7 linked regions of the Oryctolagus cuniculus genome follow. The protein of the gene in region 7 purifies or fractionates together with the protein of the main gene of each other region. This does not show direct contact. Links are inferred from orthologs where the notes say so. Each region holds a gene or a part of one and is shown on either strand. Other genes may lie near its edges. The genes, in order: HSPD1, HNRNPA1, RPL18, HNRNPA0, C1QBP, HSP90AB1 and KRAS.

Region 1 (4,039 bases), on a different chromosome or scaffold from region 7:
AGACAGTGAGAGAGACAGAGAGAAAGGTCTTCCTTTCATTGGTTCACTCCCCAAATGGCTGCCACGCCAGAGCTACGCCGATCCAAAGCCCCGAAGCCAGGAGCCAGGTGCTTCCTGGTCTTCCATGCGGGTGCAGGCAAACAATTACCTAGGCCATCCTCCACTGCCCTCCCGGGCCACAGCAGAGAGCTGGATTGGAAGAGGAGAAACCGGGACTAGAATCCGGCGCCCATATGGGATGCCGGCACTGCAGGCGGAGGATTAACCAAGTGAGCCACAGAAGTCTTCCACTTCCGAAAATAAAGTGGAGGATGGTCCCTGCACCTATGTGGAAGACCTGGAAGAAGCTCCTGGTTCCTGGTTCTGGCCATTGCAGCCATTTGGGGAGTGAACCGTTGAATGGAAAATCTCTCTGTGCCTTTCAAACAAATCTTTTAAAAGAAAATTTACTTTTTTTAAAGGCAAAACGACAGAGAAAAATGGAGAGATTAGGAGATCTTCCATCCAATAATGGTTCATTCACCAAATGGCTGCAAAAGCCACATATGGAGCTAAGAACTCCATTCCGATCTCCCATACAGTTGGCAATTACCTAGGCCATCTTCCACTGCCTTCCCAGAAACATTAGCAGGGAGTTAATAGAATAGGAGGCAGAGTAACTGAGATTCAAACCAGCACTGGGACACGGGATGTAGACATCACAAGCTACAGCTTAAATGGCTACACCATAATGGTATCCCACAAATAAAACTGTAGGAATCCCAAACATAGCATATATGTTTCTGTACCTTTTGGATTTGCACCAAAACTGCTACCTTCTATTTTTGAGCTGTACAAATGGCCTATTTTTACAGTTGTTTAGGTCACTTTGATATTTGAACTGTTTTCAATTTGAAAACTGTACTCATCTGTACTACAGCCACCTCAAAAAAATTTTAAATATGCTTTGGAACAGGAGAGCAGCAGAAAAGTACTGGGCAAATTAGTACCTACAAGGAAGGGGGGAATGGGTAGAGTTAGTTTTCCAAGATGATACATGGTGGCTATGATTGCCAACAAGATCAATGCATTTACTGTTCCTTAACTGTGTGCTAAAAAATGGTAATGAAAAATTAGGGAGCAGAGGTTGAGTTCCTGCCTGGCACAGTTCTGGCTGTTGTGAGCATTTGAGGAGTGAACCAGCAGATGAGATCGGTCACACTGCCTTTCAGACAAATCTTTTAAAAATTATCACCTGCAAATACTTATCTGAGGTATTATTGGACACAACCTGTATTTCCCCCCAATACATGCCACTACTGGGAAAAGATCCATGAATGTGATGCAAGGACACAAGCGAAATTAACTGTACTAAGTGTTCACCTTAAGCTGTGAGTTACTACCCAGTTACATCACACAATACACACAATAATAAAGAACTATACATAAAAACTAGATTCTCTCAAAAAGTGAATACCAAAGCACTGGTAAATAGTTCTACGTGACTATTCCTTAATCAGTAAAACAGTATTCCTTAATTACTAATACGTAATTAAAACCAAATAATACTGATACCTTTGGCCCCATTGTCACGGCTACAGCATCGGCTAAAAGGTCTACACCTTGAAGCATTAAAGCTCGGGCATCTGCACCAAATTTTACGTCTTTGGCGTAAGCCCGAGTGAGATGAGGAGCCAGTGCCCTGGACACTGGCCTCATCTGGCGAAGGACTGTGGGTAATCGAAGCATTTCTGCAGGAGAAAACAAGTACACGATCAGTACCACGCCAATCCGCGCGTCGCAGCAAATATGCCCACCCTCACACCAGATCAAGCAAGGTTAGGTGTGAACCAGGTCGACCTCTGCCAGCCACTAACCCCCGGCCACGCAGCCTCGGAACCCCAGCAATCGGCGCAAGCTAAGAGGCCGCCCCCTTGCCTGACCTATAGCACAAGGCACACGCAGCTGCTACCCCATGGCCGCCTACTCCTGCCTCCAAAAACGAGTTAATTTTTCACCGCTACAATGGCCTACAGAGTAGAATCGCTCCAATTGTATCCCTGCAAAGACCAATCGGTGGGAGTGGGGTGGGGGGAGGGGAGAGAGCGAGAAGAGAGGCGGTCTACAAATCCGAGTCACTAAGGAAGTATTCCTGAAGCCGCAAAACCCGCTCAGCGGAAAGTGTCTTCAAGTATCCAGCCGAAGCTACTGTATCAGAGCAGTTAACTAGGCCCCGACTCCGCGAGCCGAGCCCCACGTGCCTTGCTTTCAGGACGCCCCCAGCAAGGTCAAGAGCTGAGGCGCCGTACCCCTGCAGCCCGCCGGCCAAAAGCAGTTCCTGGCGGACGCGACCACCCCCAGCCAGGAACAGGCAACCCCAGCAGGCCCTAGCGGCCTCGATGTCCCCCGTCCCGTCCCCAGGCCAGTCCTCCCTCCTTCCCTCCCGCGCCTGGCCCGGGCCGCAGTCCACGCCGCACGTGATGAAACCCGCATGGGTTCCCGAGGCCTGGCCCAGCGGGCCCCGTCTCGCAATCCTCCGAGTCCTGGCTGTCGCCTGCCGGCCTGCTCAGGCCGGCCCGTAGCGGAAGGCGGCCTGCTCCAGGGCCGCAGGAGCCGGGGCCAGGCGGCGCCCAGTGGCCGCGTACCTGCGGGGAGGCGGCGCGGAGTGCACGCGGCGAGGCAGGCCGTCGGCGGCGAGTGAGGGCCAGGCTGCAGGGCGCGCACGGCAATGAGTCTGTGCCCCTCCCTCGGCTGCTCCCCGCCCCGCGGCACCGCGTGTGCGGCGGCTCCCGCCCCTTCCCGTCGCCCGGGGCCCGGCAATCAGCACGCGCCGCGCCCGCGCCCCGCCCCTCCCCACCGCGCAGAGCCTGGACGGCGGGATCAGCCCCCTCCGGCCGAGTTAGGCTCGTTCCCGGGCCGCGCTCGCTTCCAGAACTTTCCGGAAAGCGCCGCGCGCTCTGCGGGTCAAGGGTCACACCCCGTCATTTCCGGGAGGGGGACAGTGGGGTGGGCTTGTCCTTTCACCTCGGCCTGCTGGCCTAGAAAAGCCTAGAAAAAGCTCTTCTTCAATCCCGCCCTCTGGGCCTCGCGTCAGCAGGCCGCGCGGCGCCTTCCGGGCGAATCCCGGCGCGCGCTGCGGCGGCCGCCCCTCTCGGGGGGAGGGGCGGGGGCGGGTGCGGGCCGAGCGCGCGTGCGCGGTGCCTGGCCTTTTCACGTGTCCCGAGGGTCAGGCTGCGGGTCTCTCCTTGGAGCGGCGCGAGAGCGGAGCGAAAGCTGCGGCGCTGGGGCCATGGTGAGTCCCGCGTGGCCCGCAGGGCGCCCTGCGGGGCCTGACTGCAGGGCTAGTGGAGCGTTCCGTGAGTAGCGGCCGCCTGTCCTCCGCAGAGGCGAGGCCGCGCCGGCCCTCCCCTCCGCCGAGGGCTCCTTGCACACGCGTGTGCCGCAGTAGCGTGGGGCAGGGGGGCGGGAGCCCGGGCACACAAGCGCGGCGGCCCACCTGCCTCTGCACGCAGGGCCCTTGTGGGTGTGCAGGATCTAGGAGAAAGAGTACGGCTCCAGGCGGAGGGAGTGGCCCTGACTTTTCCAGAAAAACTTAAGGAAAATGACCTTGGAGTTAATTAAGGTTAACCAGGTCGCGTGGGCGAGAGGGGCGACAACGACCCCCCAGCGAACACAGAGGGTGGGGAATATTAAACTTGGTGCAAAGGGCGGAACGTTCAGATGCGTTCCCTTAGTGTGGGTGTTCTGGAAAACCGAAGTTGATTGAGATGAAACGCTTGCGGAGGCCCTGCGTGTTTTCAATAAAACGTTTTTCTCTCTGCAGGCAGGACAGGCATTTAGGAAGTTTCTTCCGCTCTTTGACCGGGTCTTGGTGGAGAGGAGCGCCGCGGAAACAGTAACCAAAGGAGGCATTATGCTCCCTGAAAAATCTCAAGGAAAAGTATTGCAAGCAACGGTAGTAGCTGTTGGATCAGGCTCTAAAGGAAAGGTAACTTGGGGACTGCAGATGCAGCTATAAAAGTATTTTAAATAACTTGCGTCATTTTAAGGAAAATGACTG
Region 2 (4,092 bases), on a different chromosome or scaffold from region 7:
CCAAAGAGGTGCACCGGGCGGGGGGCTTCGCAGAAGTCGTAGGGGGGAAAAACCCACCCCCGCACGCCATCACGACCATTGAATCTCCTTCCTCCCCACCCTTTCCCACCAAATCGAAGACCTCCCCGTCCTGGAGAGCCTATTGGACGACCTGTCCGAGAGGCTTCCTTGGGCCGCCCGCCTACTGGCTCCAGATTTGGTCCATCCACTTGAGGGCCCAACTCCCGCCTTCCCCGCTGGAGTCAAACCCACGGCCCCTCGGAGAAGCCCAACCTACCGCGCGCTTCGCGCTCATTGGCTCGGCGGGACGCTGCTCAGGAAGGGAAAACCCGCCTCCCACATTCCGATGGCCCAAAGGCCGATCAGTCGGCAGCTCGAGGTAGACCCAATTGGCCTAGACACGCGCCAGTCAAACGCCTCGGCGGCACAGCTCCACACAACCTACAGGGATGGAATATCCCGCCCCCTGTTCTTCTATTGGTTGGCCCAACCCACCGCTGCCCCTTGACTATCCCCCCACCCCACGGTCCATTCATTTCACACAATAACGGGCCCAACTGGAGCCGGTCCAAGGCCTTGTACAGGTAGACAAGACTCTCTGCCACTTACCCGGGATCGAGAGTGATCACACACCCTAACGTCTGCCCCGTTCCTCTGTGCTGAGGCCGCACCACAAGCCACCGCTGCTGCTGCCTTCTGCGCAACGCCAACCGCCCGCCAAAACGGATCCTTCCCTGCGCCTGCGCAACCAATCCTGGGCCCGGACCCTTTCTCCGCCCACAACGCCTGCGCAAAGCAGCGCGCAACTCCCGCCACTACGCAGGCGCCGTAGGTTAACCGCCTTCTCCCGCCCGCCATTTCACGTGTTTCAAGCGGCGAGCGGAACTCTATAATGCGCATGCGCAAGATCGCCATTTTACTACACATGCGCTCAACAGGCGGTTGTTGAAAAAAACCGTCACATCTAACTACTTTTCTGCTGCTTGGTGTTAATAATGCTTTACCAAACAAATAGGATATATAATTTGGACTAGTAGAATGAAAAAAAAACGTTTAGACAGGCGAAGTACGTTCAAAAATGAATGATTGTTCAGTTAGCCAATCAGGCTGGCTAAGAATAAGATTGCTCGAGGACCAATGGGGTCCGAGGGGTGGAGACTGCGCAGAACGCCCTAACGGTGACGTACGCAGCAGTGCGGCGCCATACACCAATAGTAGAGGGAAGCGATTTCAAATGTCCAATCAGAGCGAGGCAGGGGTGGAGTCTGCCAATGTCGAAAGCGAGGAGGCGGGATAAAAAAGCGAGGCCGAAGGTAGGCTGGCGGATACGTTCGTTGGCTTACTCCTTTCTGCTTGCGGACGCCGCCGAGGAAGCATCGTCGAGTTCTCTCTTCCCACCGCCGTCATGTCGAAGTCAGAGGTGAGGAGCTCCCCTTTTCTAACGTAGTTCTCCCCCTCGTCTCCCTCTTCGAGTCCAGTAGGGGCGGTTTCTTTGCCCGCAGCAACCTTTTCGGCAGTTTGCTCGGTCGCGGCCAAGGCCTACCCCTCCCAAAGTTCAAGTCGCCATTTTGTCCTCGTCGTCGCCATGAGGTTGCGGGCCGCTAGCCCCTCGATAATCACTCCGGGGTCGGCGTCGGGGCAAAATCGTTAGCCATATGGCGATTTAGGTTCAATTTTGTCCCGGCGAGCGGGTTTTAAAAAAGCCTTGATGCCCCTCACGGCGATGTCCCCCTCCCGCGCGGACCTTTTGTTGCGCGCGTGCGTCTGGAGGGAGCGGAGCGGCGCATGCGCTGGAGGCTCCCCAGCCCCCAACGGGCCGCCTCCCCTGATGAGGGGGAGCACGTGGCCCGCTTTGGACCGGAGCGAACAAAAAGTGCCGCCTTTGTGGGGGCCGAGTTGTGTTCCCCACCCCCCGCGTGGAAACGGGGTCGTGTGGTAGCCCGAATTTACAAGAGAAAAACCAATTTTGCTCTCCCGCCCAGTCGCCCAAGGAGCCCGAGCAGCTGCGGAAGCTCTTCATCGGAGGGCTGAGCTTTGAGACGACCGATGAGAGCCTGAGGAGCCATTTTGAGCAATGGGGCACGCTCACGGACTGCGTGGTAAGACTGGGGAGGGCCGGGAGGCGGGGCGTCGGCGGCTGTTCCTGCAGATTCTGTGCGAGGGCTTAAGATCCTAACGGGGCCTGAGTTCTGAGTTAGGAATGGCTCGTTTGTGGCTCTTCGGCCTGCTTTTTGGAAGTTGCGGGAGCGGGGAACAGGAGGACCGCCCTATAACCTCCTACGGGCCCGGGCCTTGTAATAAGCAAATTAACGCTGTCTCCAGGTAATGAGAGACCCGAACACCAAGCGCTCCAGGGGCTTTGGGTTTGTCACCTACGCCACCGTGGAGGAGGTGGATGCGGCCATGAACGCAAGGCCACACAAAGTGGATGGAAGAGTTGTGGAACCAAAGAGGGCTGTGTCGAGAGAAGTAAGTGGGCCCCCAAACCCCCATCGGTTGTGGTAATAGGCTTGCCATTGGGGAGCCATCTGGACCCTTTCAAGTACTTGATAAAGGACACAGATTTTGCCATTTAGAGTAACTCGTGGTTCTCGGCTCGGTAGGATTCCCAAAGACCAGGTGCCCACCTCACTGTGAAAAAGATCTTCGTGGGTGGCATTAAAGAAGACACTGAAGAGCATCACCTCCGAGATTACTTTGAGCAGTACGGGAAAATCGAGGTGATTGAGATCATGACTGATCGAGGCAGTGGCAAGAAGAGGGGCTTTGCTTTTGTGACCTTCGACGACCATGACTCCGTGGATAAGATTGTCAGTGAGTATCAGATCCCAGGCACTTTGCGGGCTTTCTGCAACGCACGTGGCATTCCACTCTAACCCCGGGCTGTTTGTCATCAAATTTCAGTTCAGAAATACCACACTGTGAACGGCCACAACTGTGAAGTGAGGAAGGCCCTGTCGAAGCAGGAGATGGCCAGCGCTTCGTCCACCCCGAGAGGTATGTCTATTGCTTAGTCGGACGTTAAGGTAACTTTGAGTTTTTCCAATCTGTATGGTTTAACACTTATCTCTCAAGGTCGAAGTGGTTCTGGAAACTTTGGTGGTGGTCGTGGAGGTGGTTTTGGTGGCAATGACAACTTTGGTCGTGGAGGAAACTTCAGTGGTCGTGGTATGTATGGTTAGCTAAGGTTAACTCTAGAGAGCTTGTGGTTTCTTGACCCTAGATGACTTGTCCCTTTTTTTTCTGTAACCTGTAGTAGCATATAACAAATGGCCTACGTTTCCGAAGTTAAGTTTTATCTAAAATGCAGCTCTGGCCTGTAACTAACCAGAAGTTACTCCGGTGTGCCAATCGTTGTCACAGTGCAGGGAGCGCTTCCAGAGCGTACCACGCAATTCATATGCTCTAAACCTGCTGCACGTGTTTGCTTTCTTCCAGGTGGCTTCGGCGGCAGCCGCGGTGGAGGTGGTTATGGTGGCAGTGGGGATGGTTACAATGGATTTGGTAATGACGGTAAGTCTTTAAAGAATACATAGGTAAAAATGTTTCTGGCAACTTGTGTTACTAGATTAGGATGATAGAAACTGTTAACTGCTAGTGCATGATAAGCTCAACTGAACCCATAATAAGCATGCTTTGCGCAGGCCTTTAGCCATTACACTTGAACCGATTTTGATTGTTAAATACTTTTGTCTTATTGAGAAGAATTGTATTCTTATAGGTGGTTATGGAGGAGGCGGCCCTGGTTACTCTGGAGGAAGCAGAGGCTATGGAAGTGGTGGACAGGGTTATGGAAACCAGGGCAGTGGCTATGGCGGGAGTGGCAGCTATGACAGCTATAACAACGGCGGAGGCGGCTTTGGCGGTGGTAGTGGTAGGTATCGAGTGATCCAAGTACTTGGTCTGATAGCTAGATTAGTGTTTTAGCATTTTAATGCCCATATTGCGATTGGAAGCTCTTAAAGCATTGTGTGGTACACTGCATGGTATATTAAAAGGAAATGAGCTTGCTGTGCTACCTCCTCCTAGCTTTAAGCTGGGGCCGCCTCACTCCCAAATAAGTAGATGCTAAGCGGGTAGTGGTGTCTGTGA
Region 3 (4,100 bases), on a different chromosome or scaffold from region 7:
CCCGGCCGGCTATCCCCCTCCCTCCTTGCCTTTTCAGTGCGCACGGAGCACAGGGGGCCGGAGCCCTCCCGCCATTCCTCCTGCTGTGGCCTCAGCAGGCCTCGCCCGGGGCAGCCCAGCCCCTTGTGCAAACGGGGTGGGCCCGCAGGTCCTGGGGTGCAGCTCCCGGGGCGCCCGCCCGCGGCCAATGGCCACCAGCGCCGGCTGCGCCTCACCTGCCCACACACCCTGCCCCCTGCACTTCCTGGTCCTCGCCCCAACAGTGCTTAGTGCCAGGGTGGGCGTGGCCAACTGGACAGACTCCGGGAGGAGAGGCGGGGCTCCGGGAGCAGGTGGTGCAGCCTGGGGCCGGGCCAGGGCCTTCCACCGTCCCCCCTCCCAACACACACACACACACAGACGTCGGCGTCCAAAAATCTTTATTAACAGCGCGGTGCGCAGGGTTAGTTCTTGTAGCCCCGGCTGGCCCGTCTGCCTCTGGCGCGCTCGAACTTCCTGCCCTTGGAGCGCACGTAGGGTCTGTGGGGAGAGGGGGGGAGGGTGAGAGGGCAGCAGGGGCGCCCGGACCACTAGAGCCGGCCCTGCCCCCGCATGGAGGGCGTCCCACTTCACACCCAGCTCCCAGCCAACGCCCCCGTACGACAGCCCAGCACCCCACGTGGGCGCCAGTTCCAGTGCCGGCTGCTCCACTTCCGCTCCAGCTCCCTGCTATGCCCTGGGAAAGCAGCAGGAGACGGCCCAAGTGCCCGGGCCCCTGCACCCGCGTGGGAGACCCGGATGGAGCCCCAGCCCGGACTGCTGCAGCCAGCGGGTGAAGGTCTGTCTCCCCCTCTTTCTGGAACTTCCAAGAGCCCGCCCCCACCGTGAGCCAGGCGCTGCCCAGCCGCCGGGGCCGACACTCACTTGGTGTGACTGTGTGGGGTTCCGGGGGCCTTGCCGAAATGCCGGTACACCTCACGGCCCTTGCGGGGACCTGGGGGTGCGACACGAGCGGGATCAGACAGGGACACGCCCCTCCCCAGGGAGCCCCGCGCGGGCGGGCGGGCGGCGGCACTCACCGGAGAGCAGGACCGTGCCGCGGCCCTTGGGGGAGTCCAGGGCCAGCTGGTCGAAGGTGAGGATCTTGCCCCCGGCCTTGAGGATGCGGCTGCGGGCACGGCTGGTCACGCGCAGGGCGCACACCTGGGGCACGGGGCGGGCGGGGTCAGAGCCGAGCCAGCGCCGGCCCGTGGGGGGCGCCCTCCGGGGCGTGGCCAGGCCCCAGGCTCACCTTCAGCTTGGGCACCTCCTGGACGCGCACGTCATCGGTGACGGTGCCCACCACCACGGCGGTCTTGTTCTCCCGCCCGGGAAGCTTCATCTTCCGGATCTCCAGGGGAGAGGGGCGCAGAGGGGGCGTCAGGCCCCGCCCCCGCCCCGGGCGGCCCTCCCCCTCCCCCGCCCCCGCCCGCGCCGCGGCCACGCACCATCCGCGACAGGGACAGCGGCGGCCGGTTGGTGCGGCTCATGAACAGCCTCTTCAGCACCACCTGGTTGAACGTGGAGTTGGTGCGTCTGGCCAGGAACCTGTACAGCTGCAGAGAGGGGCGGCAGGTGAGGCCCGGCCCGGCCCGCGCCCGCGCGGGGGCTGCCCACGCCGCGGCCGCAGCTCCCGCTCACCTTGACCAGCAGCCGCAGGTAGATGTCCTGGCTCTTGGGCTCCTTGCGCCGAACCTTCCTGTCCTTGTTGTGGCGAATGTCGACTCCCTGGGGGGGGGGGGACGGTGACCACGGGCCCCACTCTGCGCAGGAACCACCACGCCCCCCCACGCTCAGCGGCGGCCGGGCCGGGCCCCCCCACTCTGGGACAACAGCGCAAACCCCAGGTCCCCCCGGGAGACACGTGTGCGTGCGGCGGCCGTACCCCGCGACGCTAAGGGGGATTTAACTGCCTCCAAGCCGTGTTCTGCGGTAACGTCAACACTGCGAGACCCCGCGTGCAGTCGGGCCCGAGCTGGTGTGCGGCCCTCGCAGCGCCCACGACGTGCACGACGGCACCCCCTGCTTTGTCCCGGGTAACTCGGTTTTCCAGCGCGTTCATGGTGAAAGGAGCCACCGCAGCGCCCCGTCGGGCCAGCGCCTGCCCTACCCAAGTGGCGACCACTCCCCGCCGTCCGCAGCGGCGCTGGGGGTCACGGTGCCCATAGATGAAGCCGCTGCAGGCACAGCACCCACAGGGCCTCCCCGTCCCCAAGACCCCGCAGCAGAGCAGGGTGACGGACGATCTGGGTCGTGGGGACCAAAGACTAAGTCGGCGCGGACGGGTTGGGGGGTCAGCCGCCTGGGTCCGGAGTCTCCGCCACCTCCCGTGACCACGGTCACATCACTTAGGACTCCCCGAACCTCAGCACGGGGAGCAGCGGGCTCCGAAGGAAGCCGGCCAGAGTGGCTCTGACCCAGCGCTGGCCTCCGGAGTCCCTCCGAGCCCCATGGCCTCGGAGCCGCTCCTTGGACACCCCCGCGGACCCCCCGCCTCTCTCCCGCATGCCCCAAGCCCGAGACTGTGGCAGATGGCGGCGGATGGAGAAGCACCCAGCTCTCCGCAAAACTCACTCACCATGATGGCGACTCCTGCCCGGCCCCGTCCGGAAAGAGAGAGACAGAGAAGCACCGGAATGGGTGTGGAAAGCCTTCAGCGAGCGGCGCGCGTGTGACGTCACAGGAGCGCGCCGCGCCGCTCTAGCACGACCGAGGCCTCTTTGTGGCGCGTCGGAGGACCAGCTGCGTGGGCGACAACGGGCTAGGGCGGAGAAACAACCACAGAGGAACAGGGGCGACGTCAGGGAGAGAAGGGCCGATGCGTCGGGGCCTCTCTAGCCCTACCCAGCCCTTGCTCTCGGTAGCCTTCCGGAAGAAAGCGCGCTGGGAGCCGAGAGAGATGTGTGCCGCTAGGGGGACGCTCTGGCCCGACATTGACGGCCTCTCGGTGGCTGCCGGAGGACCGGGCGGGCCGAGCCGCGGCGGTGCGGAGGCGGGGCCGGCGGGGCCGGGTCGGGCCTGGCCTCCGGAAACTTGTGACTTCACGCCTCGGGCGTTTCCTTATCAGCTTCACCTCTGCCCGTGCGCCGCCGCCGCCGCTCGGGAAGTCCTACTTGAGATCTGTCCCGATTCCTTGTCGCTGCAGCTCCGTCTGGAGCACGCTGTCCCCGCAGCCTTGCCCCCACCCCGAGAGGGCCCGTGCCTGTCTCCCTCCTCGGCCTCCGCCGCCGGGGGCCGTCTGTCTGCAAGCCACAGAGTCCAGCCGGGCCGGCGGCTTCGGTGTGAGGGATGCGCAGGGTACTGGAAGGCGGAGAGGGCGCAGAGCGAGGCCCCGGCGTGCAGGGTCGGGGAGGGGGGATGCGTGAACCGGCCCCGCAGGGGAGGGGGCGGCGGCGTGCAGGGTCAGGGAGGGGGGATGCGTGAACCGGCCCCGCAGGGAGGGGGCGGCGGCGTGCAGAGTCCCCGCAGGGGAGGGGGTGGCGGCGTGCAGGGTGTGGGGGGGACGGGGATGCGTGAACCGGCCCCGCAGGGGCGGGGGCAGCGGCCTGCAGGGATGGAGACAGAGATAGATGCAGAGGGGAGGGGGCGCGGGGGCGGGGGATGGAGACCCCAGGAGAATAATACAAGAATGCGGAGACTCGGGCTTGCCCCTTTTAAATCCTGGCTCTGCTGCCTAGTGACGGCGTGACCTTGGGCAAGTCTGGGAGCCTGGCTTTCTTTGTCTGCAAGAAAGGGCTGACAATGGGCTCGCTGTCTGCCAGGATTATATATGTTCATAAAAGCGCTGGGGTCGAATGCTTCGCACCTAATAACGGCTCTTTCACACACCTGTTATTATCGTTTCCTTTCTGGGACCAGAGGAACGGGTCGGGGCGGTGACGAAGCTGGCCCGTCGGGTCCGGCTGCCTGCAAGCTGCTCACTCACCTCTTCTCCACAGAGCAAAGGCCAGGCCAGAACGGTGACCGCCACTCCTCGCCCTGGCCCCGCACGCAGGGCTGAGGCCCCGCTGATGTAGCCGAGCCGAGGCCGTGCAGATGCATGGACACCCCGCCTCAGAGGAGCGCGGGACCAGGTGAGTGTC
Region 4 (3,585 bases), on a different chromosome or scaffold from region 7:
TTCTATCCTACTGCCTGCTCTGCTCAAACGGATTCACCCATTGCCCCCTGAAGCGCAAGTTTCCTGCAGAAATCTTATCTAGTCTTCGTCTCCCAGATCCAGTACAACTTTAACCTCTTTCCCAAATCCTTCCCCAATACTCGAGGAAACAGCGAGGAATCACTCTGAGCTTCTTCAGTAATAACCACCTGGTTTGGGAGGCTCTTGGTGTCCTAGTGCCACGTCCCAGTCTAGGCATCTTGTTTGGCCACAAAGGTTCAAACAGTTCAAAGTTTTGGCCTGCGGAGGGCACTTAAAGGCAGGCATCAGGTGTGCAGACGGGCTCTTTGCGAATACAATGCTCAGCTATTCTTGGTTTGATATAAAACGTCTGGAAAAAGCCAAAACGTGAGTTGGAAGGGGGCAGCGCACAGATGACTTAAGTTATGAGTGTATCCTGAGGTAAGTGAAAATGTCTGCAGGAGTGTGCGGAGCGGGTGGGACGTTAGATGTGGCGGAGCCCCGCCTCGGCGTGAGGTTTTCGCACCCTGTTATCTTTCACACCGCCTCGGACTCGCTTTTGCGCATTACTACGCCACGTGTTCAAGTTTTGGTTCAGCCACGCGCCCGGCCCACTGGTAACCGTTACCAACCGCCTCCCTGGACCGGTCCTCCGCCCTCCATCTTTACGGGGGCGAGAGGAGGGGCGTGGCCGCCAGGTGTAGCCGCCCGGCCGAGACGCGGCGGGTAAACCCCGGCCCCGAACCCCAGCAGTTAAGTTTTCAAAGCGCCCGCGCGTGGCGCCCCAGGCAGTAGCCGTTGGGAACGGCCCCCAGCGAGGCCCCCAGCCCATGCCCCGCCCAGCCCGGAGCGGGAGGAGGCGTGCAGGTGGCGGCCGCCCCGCACTCCGGGGGCGCCCGGGCAAGCGCGCACTGGGGGCGCGCCCGTCCAGCAGCTGCCGAGAACGGAAGTGGGTGCGTGGGGTTGCGGCGATTGGCTGCACTCACACGCCTCTCAAGGGGCTGGCGCGAACGCCACTGCGGAGCGGGGCGAGGGGATAGGGGAAGGGGAGGGGGAGAGTCACTGGGAACAGCCGGGGGCTGCTCGGAAATGAACTGCGGAGGGTCGCGGAGGGCAGGGCAGGTCCGTTGCCAGGGCGCGCCGAGGCGCCCGGCAGTGACAGATGGACAGCAGCAGGCGTGGGCGCGCCCGCCGGGGCCGAGGGCTTGAATAGACCGCGGCGGGCGCGGAGTCTGTGGTTGAGCCCGGCGCTGCGGCGCGGTAGGCGGGACCAAGAGGAGCGAGGCGGGGATTGGCGGGCGGCCCTAGGCTACCGTGCGTCGGTGGTGACGCACGCCGCGGGGAGGGTACGCGCGCGTTCAGCGGCCTCTTTGTGTGGTGCCCAGATAGGGGAGCGGAGGTGGCGGCGGTGGCGGCAGGGGCGGCCTTGGGTGCTCGCCCGTCTCCCCGGCGCGCCCTCCTCGCCCGCACCGCTCCCCTCCCTCCCCCTCCTCTTCTCCTTCCCTCCCCTCCCCTCCCCTTCCCCGCCGGTGTCCGGCGGGGGCGGCTCCAGCGACGGCTGGGCCCCAGTTGTGAAGAAGCCTCGGCGACAGATAACGGCGACGGCGAAACCTCGGGGCTCGCGGGGCGGGGGCAAGGCCCGGGCCGTGGAGATGGAGAATTCCCAGCTGTGTAAGCTCTTCATCGGTGGCCTCAACGTGCAGACGAGTGAGTCGGGCCTGCGCGGCCACTTCGAGGCCTTTGGGACCTTGACGGACTGCGTGGTGGTGGTGAACCCCCAGACGAAGCGCTCCCGGTGCTTTGGCTTCGTGACCTACTCGAATGTGGAGGAGGCGGATGCCGCCATGGCCGCGTCGCCGCATGCCGTGGACGGCAACACGGTGGAGCTGAAGCGGGCCGTGTCCCGCGAGGATTCGGCGCGGCCCGGTGCCCACGCCAAGGTGAAGAAGCTCTTTGTCGGGGGCCTGAAGGGAGACGTGGCCGAGGGCGACCTGATCGAGCACTTCTCGCAGTTCGGCGCCGTGGAAAAGGCCGAGATCATCGCCGACAAGCAGTCGGGCAAGAAGCGCGGCTTCGGCTTCGTGTATTTTCAGAACCACGACGCGGCGGATAAGGCCGCGGTGGTCAAGTTCCATCCCATCCAGGGCCATCGCGTGGAGGTGAAGAAGGCCGTCCCCAAGGAGGACATCCACTCCGGCGGGGGCGGCGGCGGCTCCCGGTCGTCCCGGGGCGGCCGGGGCGGCCGGGGGCGCGGCGGGGGGCGAGACCAGAACGGCCTGGCCAAGGGCGGCGGCGGCGGCTACAACAGCTACGGGGGCTACGGCGGGGGCGGCTACGGGGGCTACGGCGGCGGCGGGGGCGGCTCGTCGTACGGGGGCAGCGACTACGGTAACGGCTTCGGCGGCTTCGGCAGCTACAGCCAGCACCAGTCTTCGTACGGGCCCATGAAGAGCGGCGGCGGCGGCTGGGGCGGTCGCAGTAACAGCGGACCTTACAGAGGCGGCTACGGCGGTGGGGGCGGCTACGGAGGCGGCTCCTTCTGAGAAGCTGGAAATGCCTGGGAGCGGCTGCAGGGGCGGCCCTGAAACATGCCGAGTGGGGTCCACTCCTGAGGCCCGTACTCCTCCACCGCCTTCCCCATTTTGCCCTTGGGGGAGCCGCTGAGGCTGCTTACCCTTGGGAGTGTCCCCCTGTTTACCTGGCACCTCTCGACCCTCCCTCTGAAGATGGACTAGACCCCCCCCCCTACATTTTTGTGTTACAGTCATTGATGGACTCTATTTTTTTATTATTACTTGGAACTTGGTCGTTTTTATACTAGCAAGATGTCTTGTTTTAATTTGTGTTTTTTGGGGGGGAGGGAGTGAATTTGCTCATTCTGTAGCAAAACCCGGGCGGGTGTTTGGGAGGGGGAGTAGTTTACTTTGTTGTAAGGACTTGATACCTGGCTACAGCGTTTTCTATGATCTACTTGGATCCCATGCCTGAAATTTGGAAGCATATGTACAAAAATCATTTTTACGTTTTATTTTTAATAAATCATTGTGTTTGACCGTACATGTCTAACATTTTTTTTTCTAGGATCCATTCCGTACCTATTTAAGGGATATTGGTTTTAAGATTTTGTGTGTGTGTAATTCTGGATGTGTACTTAGAAAAGCTTTTCAGAGGTTCTGTGTTTTTATCCTCCCCCGTTGCTCTGCTAGTGACATGTTGAAGTTTATCCCTTTCAGGCAAAACTTGAAGTGGTGGATGTGACTCTTTAAAATCTTAATTTATGTGCATCCATCGCTTGTACTGAGTGATTTACTTAGCATCTTGACATAGTTGGTCACTTCTTTCTATGAGACTTTACTTCAAAGTATGTACTGTGTAGTTCTAAAGAAGTAGTTTGTGTTACGCATGTGTTCTCATTCATACAAACTGTTTAAAATTTTTCAGATGGCTGAGTTTCATCCCTCTTACTGATTTGTGTTTAATGAATGGTTACAAATAAGGGTTATGTTTTACCCTCACACTAAATGCGTTTTTGTATTTTCTGAGCAGGTTTAATCCTTTTTTTCCCGTCTATATCTGAACTGTTAT
Region 5 (4,248 bases), on a different chromosome or scaffold from region 7:
AAATCTTTAAAAAAATAGTTCACTTGGTGTAGTCAAACAATAACTAAAAAAAGTGTATGTCAATACCAATAACATAGGGAAAGGAAAAAAACACCCAAGGATGGGAGAAAACACTTGCACACCCTGTGTCTGATAAGGGGAACTGCACCCAGAATATCTAAAGCCCACCTTTAAGGCAATAACCTGGTAACCTGGATTCAGCTCCCAGCTCCAGCGTAGCCTATACCTGGACATTTCAATATTTAGGGAGTGAAGTAGCACATGGGAGCTATCTGTCTTTCAAAACGACAGTAAAGGCCGGCGCTGTGGCTCAATAGGCTAATCCTCTGCATTGCGGCGCCTGGCACACCGGGTTCTAGTCCCGGTCGGGGCGCCAGATTCTGTCCCAGTTGCCCTTCTTCCAGGCCAGCTCTCTGCTGTGGCCCGGGAAGGCAGTGAAGGATGGCCCAAGTGCTTGGGCCCTGCACCCCATGGGAGACCAGGAGAAGCACCTGGCTCCTGCCTTCGGACTGGCGCAGCGCCGGCCGTAGCAGCCATTTGGGGGGTGAACCAACGGAAGGAAAACCTTTCTCTCTGTCTCTGTCTATAACTATCTGTCAGATAAATAAAATTAAAAAAATAAATAAATAAAAAACCAGAATCACAAAGTAAATAGAACCCTGTCAAATGCCTGCCAACAAATGAATGGATAACTGACAGAACAAGGACATGAGCCTCAGGCATTGTGGCTCTTTGCCTGAGGGACCCTTTACCTTCCTTCAAGAGACCAGCTCAGTCCTACGCCCTGTACTGTTGCCCACCCTACCCTCTGCATTCTGCATTCCATAGAAAAGCTAGCTCAGCTCCACTGCACCTCATGGCCCTTATCAGGCCTATGCTATTTAAATCCAGCCCGTAAATAAATTCCTGCTCTCTCGGCCACGTGTTCTGTCTGTGCGCATGCCAGTGGTTGGCCATCTTTGCAAATTCACTTGTCTTTTTTTTTTTCCTTTATGATTTATTTATTGTATTTGAAAGACAGAGTTAGAAAGAGATCTTCCATCTGCTGGTTCACTCCCCAAATGGCTACAATGGCCAGATGGAAACCAGGAACTTCTTCCAGGCCTCCCATGTGGGTGCAGGGACCCAAGCACTTGAGCCATTTTCCGCTGCTTTCCCAGGAGCAGAAACAGGGCGCTGGGTCAGAAGTGGAGCAGCCAAGACTTGAACCGGCACCCATATGGGATGCAGGCACCGCAGGTGGCAGCTTAGCGTGCTATGCCACAGCGCTGGCTCCCATTTTTCTTCTTAATTGATTTTGGCCGTTGACTTCGTATCTTGTCTCCTCTGGTCTGTCTCCCATTTCCTTACATAAATAAAATCTAGCATATCCACATAATGAAATATTATGTTGTCATTAAAAAAGCTAACTATTGGTACATGCTATTACTAGTATGAATGAACCTCAAAAACAACGGGGGTGCGGGGGTGACAGTGTTGTGGCACAGCTGGCTAAGCTGCTGCCTACAACGCTGGCACCCATAGGCTGCTCTGCTTTGGATCCAGCTCCCTGCTCAGACGCCTCTCTGTAACCTTCTCTCTGTAATTCTCTTACTCTCTGCCTCTCAAATAAATTAATCTTAAAAAAAAAAAAAAAAAAAGCTGGCCCAAGTGTTGGACCCTTGCACCCACGTGGGAGGACATGGAAAAAGTGCCTGCTGCCTGGCTCCTGGCTCCAGCTTGGCCCAGCTCTGGCTGTTGGGGTGGATGGAAGACGTCTCTAACTCTACCTTTCAAGCCAATAAATCAATCTTGGGGGGGGGGGGGGAGGTAGACACAAATGGCCACATATTGCATGACTCCCACTCACACAAAATGTCCCACACAGGCAAATCCAGAGAAGGCAGCTTGGCGGTTTCAAGGGGCCGGAGGGGGAAGAAGGGACAGGGCGGCTGCGGAAGGGTCCCGCTGTGAAGTCACACGGGGTGGCTGACATGTGGCTCCAGCGAGCTTAGGGTCCCGAGCCAGAGGCCGCCCCACGCCGCGCACCCCGGGGCGCGCCGTGCACTTACTTCTCCCCGGCCACTTTGCGCACGAGTTTAGCCTCTGTGCCGTTCACCTCCAGCTCCCAGCCTCCAGACATCTTGGGAAGGGCTTTATGCTTCTGGATTTTCTTCTCCTCCTTAATCTCGTCGGTAAGGAAATCCACAAAGGCTTTATCTCCTGGGGAGGAATCGCGGAGACGTCAAGGAGCGCCAAGCACCCGACAGGGACCCGGGGACCCGGGGACCCGGGGACCGCCGCCCTCTGCCCGGCATCCGCCTCGCCTCCCCAACGCTATCCGGCCTGGAAGCGGGCAGCTGCATCCGCTCGCCCGGAGAAGCCAATTCCGTCACGAGCGCCGCAGCACCCCACCCCCCAAACCGCACCCGGGGCCGGGGGAGCCGGGGAGCGGTGCTGTCAGTCGCCGTCGGGAATCAGGTCCCCCACGCCACGCGCGAGCCCCTCACCCTCCGTGTGCAGCGCGCCGCAGCCGCAGGAGCAGGGCTCGCGAGCCCGCAGGAGGCCGGGCCGCCGCACCGAGCCCGCGCGCACGCTGAGCAGCCCGAACGGCCGGGCGCAAGGCCGGGGCGCGGGCAGCAGCAGCGGCCGGAGCGGCGGGGCCGGGGCCGCGGCGCGGAGGCCGGCGACGGCGGGGCCCAGGGCGCGGGGCACGCAGCGAAGCAGCGGTAGCATCGCGCGGACGGCGTCAGACACGTGCGGCGGCGACGGACGACCCGGGCCAAAGCGCCCAAGTGACCTCCCGCCGCCGGAAGCCCGCCCTCGCCCGGAAGCGTCTCCCGCCGCCGGCGCTCCAAAGACCGAAGGCACCGCGGGCCGGATGGCGCCCTCTGCCGGGGACCGCCGGTGCAGCCTCGAATCCGGATTCCTGGACCGCCCCGGGAGTGTGTTGGGGTCTGGTGCGCAGAGCTTTGTGGTTAATTCTCAGAGCGCGCCAGGCTTGCACACGTCCTCCACACTCGACGGCAGCACACCTCTCGCAGGCCTTCTCTGCTCTCTCGTGTGCATCAAGCCCTGGCTTTGCTCGCTTGCCTGGCTGACTCCCCTCACTGCAGCCAGGTGAGACCCAGAGGCGCGAGGCGCGGTGCCCATGGTTAACCTCTCGTGACTGGCTTCACCTGCTCCCTCCGGCCTTGCATCCAAGTTCTCAGGCAAAGTCATTTTGCCGGGAGCCAGAAGCCATGGCTAACATCTGGTTCTGCACTCGCCAGGGTGTGGAAGGTACCAAGAAAATGTCTCCCTAGCTTTGTGGCAATCGTAAGGCTAATACTTAATATTTTCAAAACAGCTTTCTGTGAATAAGGGCAAGGACACACAAGAAAGAAGGGACATGCATCATGTACAAGACTTGTTCTCAATGGACACTTGCTAGTCAGGTGCGAATGTGAGCATTATATATATACACAGGAGTTGATCTTTTCATAGCTTTATTTAAGACTCAAAATACAACGTACGCCTGAGCCAACCTGATTTTTTCCCTCCCTCGGGATTTCTCTGCAGGTTACAATATTCTTATGAAATACAACATAACATTCTCGCCCACGGGGCCCGTGCTTTCTCTTATGCTAAAGCACTGGTGTCAGAGATGCATGGCCACATCCGTAGTGGACGGAGGATTTAGGTATCACAGTGCAATTTCCCTCCCCGAGCAAAACCTTGTCCTCATCTGGCATCTCCTTCCCAGTCAGCAGGTTTGCAGCATGAAAGCTTTTTATCAAGGACAGGGATTGGGGTCCTCGCCCTTGTAAGGAAAGGTGCCCTACCCCACGTTTCACCCTCTGTGATGATGTAAGCAGGACAGCCGCCTGAGCCACGCCCCACGCCGCCTGCTTGAGGACACTGTTTGCACACAGCCGCTCAGAGGAGGTGGGAAAGGGTAGCTCGGGGCTATGGTGCAGTGTCACTGTGAAAGCGCTAAGTTTAAGGTGTAGCATCCCCTGCAGCTCGACAGACAGGTCTTATTTCTGTGTTAGTGACGTGGAGCTAGGGTGGGCTTTCCAACCTGGATTCATCCCTGAGCAGCTATGATAAAAAAATAACTTCCTTAAAAGCCCAATAGAAAACTAAATACTATATTAAAAACTACCTCAGTGTTACAGGGGTAAACATATTTCTGTACTGAAACATGAAAGCTACTTAGAAGCTGTTTGCATCCTCTGCCCCCCGGAGAAGAACATGAGTCTCTGGAAACTTCTCGGGTGCTTAAGC
Region 6 (4,147 bases), on a different chromosome or scaffold from region 7:
TTCTCCTTGATCTTCTTGGTTTTCTTTTTCTTGTCCTTGCCGCTGTCATCTTCCTCATCGGAGCCCACATCTTCGATCTTGGGCTTCTCATCGTCCTCCTTATCTTCCTCCTCCTTTTTCTCTTCCCCTTTTTCTTCCTCTGCTTCATCATCACTGATTTCCTTTTCTCTTTCCTTCTCCAACTAAAGCACCCAGAAACACTCGTCAGTTTTGAGCACCGACCCTCAGGGCAAGCAAATGGCCCAGCCCACCAGAAGCACAGGCAGGCTGCCTCCGCGGGAAGCATACTCACGTAGAGGGTGATGGGGTAGCCTATGAACTGCGAGTGCTTCTTCACCACCTCCTTGACCCGCCTCTCCTCCAGGTACTCAGTCTGGTCCTCCTTGAGATGCAGGATCACCTTGGTGCCTCGGCCAATAGGCTCCCCTGCAGACCAGGAGGGCAGGCGGTGAGCGAGCTGCCCCAGGACCGCCTGCTGCACACTCGCCCTGTGAAGCAGCGCCTCCCGGCCACTCACCGTGGTCGGCGCGCACGGTGAAGGAGCCCCCAGCAGAAGACTCCCAGGCATACTGCTCGTCATCGTTGTGCTTTGTGATCACGACCACCTTCTCGGCCACCAGGTAGGCAGAATAGAAACCGACGCCGAACTGCCCGATCATGGAGATGTCGGCACCAGCCTGCAGAGAAGCGGGAACGGTCAGACTCGTGTCCTGCAGAGAACAGAGGCCCGGCCGCACGTCGAGGGCTGGCTGCCACCTACCTGCAGAGCCTCCATGAAGGCTTTAGTCCCCGACTTGGCGATGGTCCCCAAGTTGTTGATGAGATCGGCCTTGGTCATGCCAATGCCGGTGTCCACCAGCGTCAGCGTGCGGTCCTGGGGGCTCGGGATGATGTCGATCTTCAGCTCTTTGCCGCTGTCCAGCTTGGAGGGGTCCGTCAGGCTCTCATAGCGGATCTTGTCCAGGGCCTGCAAGGCAGCACCAACAGCGGATTTCTTAGCCGTCTCTTCAGCGTTAGGAACCTCTTGGATTGCTACTCTCACGCTGTAACTCTGACTGCCCCATCATCCTACACGAACTGTGAACTCTTAGAGTGAGTAATAAACGTGCCATTTAATGGTAACAGAAAATTGCGTCCTTGAAATACCCCTGGAAGTGAGAACCTTGGGCCTCACTGGACTAGGAGCCGCGTGGTCACACTGGCCCGCTCGTCCAGGGAGCACCCGGACAAACCCCTTCAATAGCAATCAGTTTTCCCCCTTCGGGAGGAGCCCAGCCAGCCATGAAACACGAAGGAACTCACATCAGACGCGTTGGAGATCAGCTCCCGCAGGAAGATTTCCTTGTTGGAGTAGAAGGTGTTGATGATGAGAGACATGAGTTGGGCAATTTCCGCCTGGAAGGCGAAAGTCTCCACCTCCTCCTCTCCATGGTGCACTTCCTCGGGCATCTGGAACAGGAGGGTCAAGAATCAGGAAGGTAGCGGCCCCAGAACTGACGCTTCTGAAATTCAGATGGTGTTTAAACTGCTTTGGGCGGGGTTACTGAAGACACGCCCTTTCTTAAAACCTGTGGGGTGAATACTAACAACCACCGAGTCAGGTCAAGAGCAAAGCCCTCCTCAACCAGACAAGCAGGTAGCATGGAGCAGGGGTGACCAGCAGCCGCTCACCACGCTGGTCCCAACCCAGACAAGGGACTCCCGCCCCACGTTCAAACGCCAGCATCACTGACCACACGTCTCTTTGATGTGGGCGCTGGTTTTATTCTCAAACTGCTCGCCCGTAGGCAGCTCTTCTACCCCTGTAGTGTGGATGCGCCCAAGGCCCGATCGCAGCCCCACGCGGCAGGGCACACTGACACCCGAGAAACAGCGGTAACCGGCTCGCGGGGCAGTCCACGCGGGACAAAGAACAGAGCAGGCGAAGGCTGCCCCGTGACGCCCCAGCACCTGCTCGCACCCAAGTAAAATGGTGCCCGGGGCCGCGGACCGACCCTCGTCACTGCCGGACATGCGTCGGCCGCAGCCCCGCGAGAAGGGGGCGCCACAGCGCGCCTCGCCATCGCCCCAGCATCCGGGCACTGGGGCGGAGCATCGGGCTCCAGAAGCTTCGAGAACAATCTCCGCGCTCGGGGAGGGGCGGGGGAGGGAGCCTATGAATCTTCCAGAGCCTGTCCCCTCCCACTCGAGGGCTGCGGAAAAGACCTGCCACACGCCAAATGCGTTTCTGCCCGCGGCGGGTCCCGCACGGACCTCGAGGGCCGAGCAGCAGCGGCAACCCAGGCGCGCAGTGCTGAGTCACCCGCGCGCGGACCCGGCCGCCTCGCGGCCCTCGTAGCCGCGTCCGGAAGTGGAGGGGCAAACATGGCAGCGCCCCGGGCCGGCGCGGCCACCACGTGCAGCCGGCCCCCGCCGCGGCCCCGCGCCGCCGGCCCGGCGCGCCGGTGCAGGCCGACCGGACGCTGGAAAGCCTCCACGCACCACCCCCGCAGCCCGAGCGCGCGGGGACCCACGGGCCGCCCCGCACCGCGGCGTCTGGCTCCCGAGCTGCGCAGCGACAGCACCCGCGGGGGAACGGCCTGCAGGGACGCGGCTGCCTTACCTTGAAGGGAAAGGGCTGCGAGCACGAGAGAGCACGGAGGGCCCGGACTGCCAACCGCACACGGCACGAGGCAGCGCGGGGGTGACTCAAGAGAGCTCTTGGGAGCCCCCAGCCAGCCTATATAAGGCGAAGCACAGCCCAGCCGCCTCCCCCGGATCCCTCCGCCTTAAAGGCGGACGCCCGCGAGCCCCGCACCTGCCGGCGCCCGCCCACCTTGACGTCATGGTCCGGAATAGGGGGCGGGCGGGGAAGAGCCAGAGCCGCCAGCCTCGGTGTGGGCTCGTGAGCTCCTGTTCTCTGCACGGCCAGGGCGTGACCCCTGCCACGATTAGGGACTGAGAGTGCTCATATGCCTCAACAGTGGATCTGCGAGCGAGGACCCCACCGGCTCCCCCAAAAGCCCTCCCACAACCAGGAGGCCGAGCCGACGGGGACTTGAAGCGAGCAGAGGTAGTCACTCCCACCCAGTCGTCTAACTAGGATCTGCCACATATATCCCCCCTCCTCCCGGCGAACGGCCCAGCTGCCTGCAGCCCCCTGGGGCGGGGGAGGGGCGCCGGCCCGGGAGGGAGGGGACTCTTTGCTGGCGTGCGGCGGAAGGAGCGGCGGCAGCGGTGCTGCGGCCACTTCCAGCAGTTTCCAGGCCAGTCTCGGCGGCCCCGCCCCCGCCGCCGCCTCCCCTCGAGGCTCCTCCCCTCGCGCTGCGGCCCGGGCAGTGTAGGTACTGCAGCTCGGGCCGACCCCTGGGCGGAGCGGGTGGGCTGCCGCTGCTCGGCCCTGCTACCCGCCTCGTCCGCCCCCGGAGCGCGGCACTGCCCCGCCGCTGAGGGGCACCTGGCCCTCCGCCTCTCCCGCCGGCCGCACACCTCGGGCAGCGGAAATGTTTTTCGGGCGCCTCCATCCAAGCCGAGACTGGGGGTGCCCATCCCTTCCCGAGCCTTCGCGGCAGCCCCCCAATCCCTAAACACTGGTTGAGGCGCCCTGCTTACAGGGTCACCTCAAGCTATTTCCCAAGCTGGTTTCGGATTTTACGCCCTCGTTCGCGTCTCTAGCTGCGGGGGCAGGGGGAGGGGAGGGTCTCCAGGGACCCCTGCCGGTGGTCGCCTGCCCCGTGGGAACCAAGTTCCTTTGCGACCCTCGGCCATGCGGCAGCCCAGGGAGCCGCGGGTCGCGCCCGCCTGGCCCAATTTGGACCCTTTGCCTGCCTTCCGGCTGCCGGCGGACCTGCCTTTCCCAAGGGTCCCCTGAAAGTCTGCTGGACCCGCGTCCTTCCCAGGAGACCCTGGCCACGCCCTGCTCCGTGCTCCCCAGCCGGCCAGCCCCGGCACCCGGTTCCCCCTCCTTAACCAGCTTTGGCCGCATGCTGGCTTCCAGAGAACAAAGGAGGACCCTTCTTTTCTTTGCGCTGTCCACGTGGTCGTCCCGGCCGTCACTGGGCCAAGGGTCTCTCTCCATGTCCTTGTCCCTTTCACCGCGGTCTGTGAGAAGCCTGTGGCTGGGGGAAGTGAATGGGGTGGGGGAGGCGTCGGGTCCTGCCCAGAAGGC
Region 7 (4,002 bases):
AAATAATATAGTTGACTGTTTGAACTTTTTCAAATAATATAGTTAATTTTATCTCCTTTCCCTTACGTAACAAGTTATTACAAATAAGAAGTACAGTGCAGAAATGGCAATAAATTTACAATGATTTTTTAATAGGGTAAGCAGTTCCAGATTCACATGTATATACTGTAGATTAAACAAAATACATGTACTATTCTATTTCCTGAAGGCCAAGAAACATCCCAAACATTACACCCCACTGACCCCCAGAGAATGCTCACCAGGTTTCCAAATACCACATTGACCTCCTCACCTTGCTCTTGAGCCCCTCCCAGAGAGTGCCAGAAGCTACAACACTGTGTGAGTAGCATGGGTATCTTCGTACACCTCCCAGCCTCTGCTCACTGTGTATCTAGGACAGAACTGAAAGCTACCTCACATCTCTTACTCTGCTTGCCCAGTCTTCTCCCAGATGTAGGCAACCTGCAGAAGGGATCCCACCAAAGAGAATCCCACCAAAATGTTTTCTCTAGCTCCCTGCCACCTCAATGCCCACAGCAGACTGGCCGGCCCCAAAGAGCTGTTCTGAAAATGTGGGCCGCGGAACCCCCCAGGTTCCCAAGACTTCTTTTAAGGCCTAAGAGGTGGAAACTATTTTCATTACGACACTAAAATGTTATTTGTCCTTTTCAATCGCATTCTTTCACGAGTGTACAGCAGAGTTTTCCAGACCTATAATCACAATGAACTGAATGGAGAGGCAGATAGGAGAATTCAGATGTGTTCCATTAAGCCACATAATTAAAGGATTTATTAAAGTGTGAAACAGCTCCATTCTTACTTATTTTTGGTTATGATCTGGAAAATAGTTTTCAATAAAACATTTATTCATGTTACCAAGTAATGAGCTTATTATTTCTATGTCTAAATGAATTCCCAGATTTTTAAAATTCTCAGTTTAATTTCCAATGCAGTAAATATTGACAATACCTCCTGATACAACAATTTTTGATATCCTCAATATTTGTATGAGTGGTAAAGGGATCCTTATGGCCAAGAAATGTGCTGACCCAGGAGGTACTGTGAACAGATAGATTACAGTTTAGTTATATACATATGTGTGAATTCAGAAACACACACCTTTTGGTCTATGTGTTTATGCAGTGGTTGTTTCTAGCACAAAAAAAAATTACTAAATCACTTTCTCAATCCAAGTAATATTTAGACCCTTTAGAAAGAACTAGGTAGGTCTCCACAGAGTCTTACTGATGGAAGATCACAGGCCAGAAGAGGCCGCTTGCCCAAAATTACAGCAGCTAGCAAGCGGTGAAAGTGGGACTAGACCCCACGGAACTGCCATCCACCACCTCGGCGCAGGAAACACGCTCGTGGATGGGGCCAGCCTCAAATCCAACAGTGCAGACAGCGACCATTTTTGATGTGCACAGCCTATCCCACGTCGGAGTCAGCACTGGGGACCTGAGAGTGACACCGGCCACACGGTTATTTCTGAGGCCCTGACCACCAACAGACTTTGAAAAATCAAGGTCTAGCCCAGCCGTATAACCCGCAAAGCCCTCTGCTGTTAACCTCTTGTTCTGAAGGTTCAAGCCAGCTGGCCTGGGCCTCCAGCTCTAAGGACCTGAGAGTTTACAGGGGGCCGGTTACTACAATGAACTCCTGGCGTGAGTCAGTTTTTTTTTTTTTTTAATTGCTTTTTAGGAGTACTGCGGTAACTCCTGGGATAGGGAGAAGGGCAGCCAAGACGAGCCAAAGCAAGCGCCAAGCACAGGCAAATTCAACTTCAAGTACTATGAGAGCTACCGGGGTCTACTACTGCACTGGCCAGGAAAAAAAAAAAAAAAAAAAAGCCCAGCTTCTGCTCGGCGGGTTTCCTCGCCGTTTTTTTTCACCCGACAAAGCAAAACAGACCTTCTGGGATTAACTTTTTCCTTTCCGCCGCGGGCCCCCGGCTCTACGTGGAGGGCGTGGGCCACCTGTTCTTCCACCACCATCACCACCTCCTCCTTTGTGACCACGGCAATGTCACAGCTCACACGGGGGGGGGGAGGGGAGCCGCCAGGAACTCGGCGGGCAGGGGCAGTTCTTGCTGCACAATAACCTCCGGCAGCGGTCTCGGAGCGCGTGCAGGCCGGGGACGCCCCCCGCCCGACCCGCACGCCCCGCACGCCCCGCGCCGCGCCGCCCCGCCGCCGGGACCTCTCCCCCGCGCCAGCCTGCGCTCCCGGGGCAAGTGCGGCGGCGTGCCCCGGAGATGCAGCCGGCGGCCGCCCAGCCAGCGCCGGGGAGCGGGGCAGAGGGGTGCGGGAGCCGGGGCCCCGGCGAGCGGGAGGGGAGGGGGAGGGGAGGCCGAGCGCGGCGGGAGTCACCTCCACCGCGCCCGGCCGCCTCCCGCCGCGGCTCTCGGCGAGGAGGAGGAAGGAAGGGGTTCCCCGTCCAGGAAGCTGCACCAGCGGCGGCCGCCGCTAGCCTCACCCTCCTCAGCCCCGCACCGCCCATGCCTCATTCCCCCCGCGTCGCCGCGACCCCCCCCCCGCCACCGCGGACGCCCGCGCGCGCCCCCCGCCGCCTCCAGGCTCCTCCCGGGACCCCCTAATTCATTCGCCCGCCGCCGGCCGCGCCCGGCGCTGAGGGTCGAGACCCGGGCAGAGGGGCCCGGGAGGGGTGGTCCGCTCCCTTACCTCTCCCCTGCACCTGGGAGCCGCCGAGCCTCAGGCCCCCGCCGCAGCCCTCAGGGCCCGCGCCGCAATCGCTCCCAGTCCGAAATGGCGGGGGCCGGGAGTCCTGGCCGAGCAGCCGCCACCGCTGCTGCCGCCGCCGCCGCCGCCGCCGTCGCCGCCGCCACTACCACCACCGCCGCCACCACCGCCGCCGCCGCCGCCGCCGCCGCCACAGCCGCCGCTGCTGCTGCTGCTGCCGCTGCTGCCTCCGCCGGGGAAATCGAGCTCCGAGCACACCGATGAGTTCGGGGCCGGGCGGCCGCAGAGGGCAGAGCTATCGATGTGTTCCACGCTCGATTCCTCTCCAGACCGGCGCTGAGGAGGGAGCGGCTGAGGGCGGTGTGGGAAGAGGGCTGAGAGGGAGGCCGCGCGCGCCGCCGGGGAGGCGGGGCGGAGGCTGGCCCCGCGGGGGAGGGGGCGGCGGGGCGGCGGGGCGGCGGGGCGGCGGGGCGGGCGGCGCCTGGGCGGGAAGGAGCGGCTGTGGGACCCGCGCGGCAGGGTCGGACCCCTGAGACGTCGGCGCGCCCTGCCCGCGTCCACACCGAGGAGCCCCGGGGACCCCCGCAGGGTCCAGCACAGCCCTTTCGTGTCGTCACCTGCACGTCCGTGAACAGGCAGTCGCCAAACGTGGGAGGCGACAGTGGTGGCTTCGGGAGAGGCCCGGGGCTTCGTGATCGCCGCCCGAACGGCCGCCACAGACCCTGTCTTGGTCCTGGGGATCCGGGTTGGTTTGCTGTGTCTCTGGGGCTTCGAAGCCAGTGCACAGTCTCCGAGGAAGGGTCTCCGAGGTCCCCGGTGCCCCCGGAGCCCGAGCGGAAGGCGAACTCTTTTTCGGTGCAAGTACCCAGGGCAGTTTAGACTGGCGGAGAGCCGCTCCAAGGTTCATTAGGAGGCTGGGTAATGAGCTAAGGAGGTCAGACATGAAACAATGGGGGCGATTAAACGCCTTAGCGAGCCCGGAGTCTACCTGCAAAGGCCCCTGGGAGAGCTGGAGGAATTAAGCAGGCCCTCTGCTTCCAGTGCTGTCCCTCCAGCCCACACCACAGACCAGCAATTCGGTTATTTTAGATCCCAGCCATTATGTCTGCTAACCAAGGCTTGACATCAGCGATCGCCGTTTTCTTTCTCTGCGTGTATGGGCTTTAATCTGCACGACTTTTATTCCAGCCTCCCTCTCCCAGCACCAGGTGGGAGGCAGAAGAGACAGGTGGAAGACGGGGAAGGGAAAAGGCTGTGCCTACTCCGTGTCAAGTGTTGGCAAAATGTTTTGCACATATCATCT

Evidence for each region.
Region 1: the proteins of KRAS (region 7) and HSPD1 purify together in Homo sapiens (affinity purification with mass spectrometry; 3 studies listed by BioGRID and IntAct, with this or other methods). This does not show direct contact. The link is inferred for Oryctolagus cuniculus from reciprocal best matches to the Homo sapiens genes KRAS and HSPD1.
Region 2: the proteins of KRAS (region 7) and HNRNPA1 purify together in Homo sapiens (affinity purification with mass spectrometry; 3 studies listed by BioGRID and IntAct, with this or other methods). This does not show direct contact. The link is inferred for Oryctolagus cuniculus from reciprocal best matches to the Homo sapiens genes KRAS and HNRNPA1.
Region 3: the proteins of KRAS (region 7) and RPL18 purify together in Homo sapiens (affinity purification with mass spectrometry; 3 studies listed by BioGRID and IntAct, with this or other methods). This does not show direct contact. The link is inferred for Oryctolagus cuniculus from reciprocal best matches to the Homo sapiens genes KRAS and RPL18.
Region 4: the proteins of KRAS (region 7) and HNRNPA0 purify together in Homo sapiens (affinity purification with mass spectrometry; 3 studies listed by BioGRID and IntAct, with this or other methods). This does not show direct contact. The link is inferred for Oryctolagus cuniculus from reciprocal best matches to the Homo sapiens genes KRAS and HNRNPA0.
Region 5: the proteins of KRAS (region 7) and C1QBP purify together in Homo sapiens (affinity purification with mass spectrometry; 3 studies listed by BioGRID and IntAct, with this or other methods). This does not show direct contact. The link is inferred for Oryctolagus cuniculus from reciprocal best matches to the Homo sapiens genes KRAS and C1QBP.
Region 6: the proteins of KRAS (region 7) and HSP90AB1 purify together in Homo sapiens (affinity purification with mass spectrometry; 4 studies listed by BioGRID and IntAct, with this or other methods). This does not show direct contact. The link is inferred for Oryctolagus cuniculus from reciprocal best matches to the Homo sapiens genes KRAS and HSP90AB1.

The regions. Positions count from the first base shown.
Region 1 is NC_091434.1:42,763,495-42,767,533, reverse strand, and holds the start of HSPD1 (60 kDa heat shock protein, mitochondrial), read right to left. Parts: upstream 2,813-4,039; 5' UTR 2,625-2,812; intron 1,731-2,624; 5' UTR 1,729-1,730; coding exon 1,555-1,728; intron 1-1,554. Other genes in the region: HSPE1 (10 kDa heat shock protein, mitochondrial), read left to right, coding at 3,269-3,271, 3,803-3,967. UniProt on the Homo sapiens protein: Chaperonin implicated in mitochondrial protein import and macromolecular assembly. Together with Hsp10, facilitates the correct folding of imported proteins.
Region 2 is NC_091442.1:57,215,951-57,220,042, forward strand, and holds the start of HNRNPA1 (heterogeneous nuclear ribonucleoprotein A1), read left to right. Parts: upstream 1-1,279; 5' UTR 1,280-1,405; coding exon 1,406-1,420; intron 1,421-1,982; coding exon 1,983-2,099; intron 2,100-2,322; coding exon 2,323-2,469; intron 2,470-2,603; coding exon 2,604-2,814; intron 2,815-2,904; coding exon 2,905-2,997; intron 2,998-3,075; coding exon 3,076-3,168; intron 3,169-3,438; coding exon 3,439-3,513; intron 3,514-3,721; coding exon 3,722-3,874; intron 3,875-4,092. Other genes in the region: CBX5 (chromobox protein homolog 5), read right to left, coding at 610-927. UniProt on the Homo sapiens protein: Involved in the packaging of pre-mRNA into hnRNP particles, transport of poly(A) mRNA from the nucleus to the cytoplasm and modulation of splice site selection.
Region 3 is NC_091449.1:8,505,551-8,509,650, reverse strand, and holds RPL18 (large ribosomal subunit protein eL18), read right to left. Parts: upstream 2,821-4,100; 5' UTR 2,600-2,820; coding exon 2,597-2,599; intron 1,747-2,596; coding exon 1,660-1,746; intron 1,575-1,659; coding exon 1,467-1,574; intron 1,370-1,466; coding exon 1,271-1,369; intron 1,183-1,270; coding exon 1,059-1,182; intron 974-1,058; coding exon 904-973; intron 818-903; exon of another isoform or gene 542-817; intron 520-541; coding exon 444-519; 3' UTR 403-443; downstream 1-402.
Region 4 is NC_091437.1:25,591,686-25,595,270, reverse strand, and holds HNRNPA0 (heterogeneous nuclear ribonucleoprotein A0), read left to right. Parts: upstream 1-1,347; 5' UTR 1,348-1,652; coding exon 1,653-2,543; 3' UTR 2,544-3,057; downstream 3,058-3,585. UniProt on the Homo sapiens protein: mRNA-binding component of ribonucleosomes. Specifically binds AU-rich element (ARE)-containing mRNAs. Involved in post-transcriptional regulation of cytokines mRNAs.
Region 5 is NC_091448.1:50,896,015-50,900,262, reverse strand, and holds the start of C1QBP (complement component 1 Q subcomponent-binding protein, mitochondrial), read right to left. Parts: upstream 2,804-4,248; 5' UTR 2,716-2,803; coding exon 2,490-2,715; intron 2,203-2,489; coding exon 2,052-2,202; intron 1-2,051.
Region 6 is NC_091436.1:125,882,796-125,886,942, forward strand, and holds the start of HSP90AB1 (heat shock protein HSP 90-beta), read right to left. Parts: upstream 2,810-4,147; 5' UTR 2,603-2,809; intron 1,450-2,602; coding exon 1,303-1,449; intron 968-1,302; coding exon 761-967; intron 678-760; coding exon 518-677; intron 427-517; coding exon 293-426; intron 183-292; coding exon 1-182. UniProt on the Homo sapiens protein: Molecular chaperone that promotes the maturation, structural maintenance and proper regulation of specific target proteins involved for instance in cell cycle control and signal transduction. Undergoes a functional cycle linked to its ATPase activity.
Region 7 is NC_091440.1:122,550,059-122,554,060, forward strand, and holds the start of KRAS (GTPase KRas), read right to left. Parts: upstream 2,816-4,002; 5' UTR 2,682-2,815; intron 2,061-2,681; exon of another isoform or gene 1,912-2,060; intron 1-1,911. UniProt on the Homo sapiens protein: Ras proteins bind GDP/GTP and possess intrinsic GTPase activity. Plays an important role in the regulation of cell proliferation.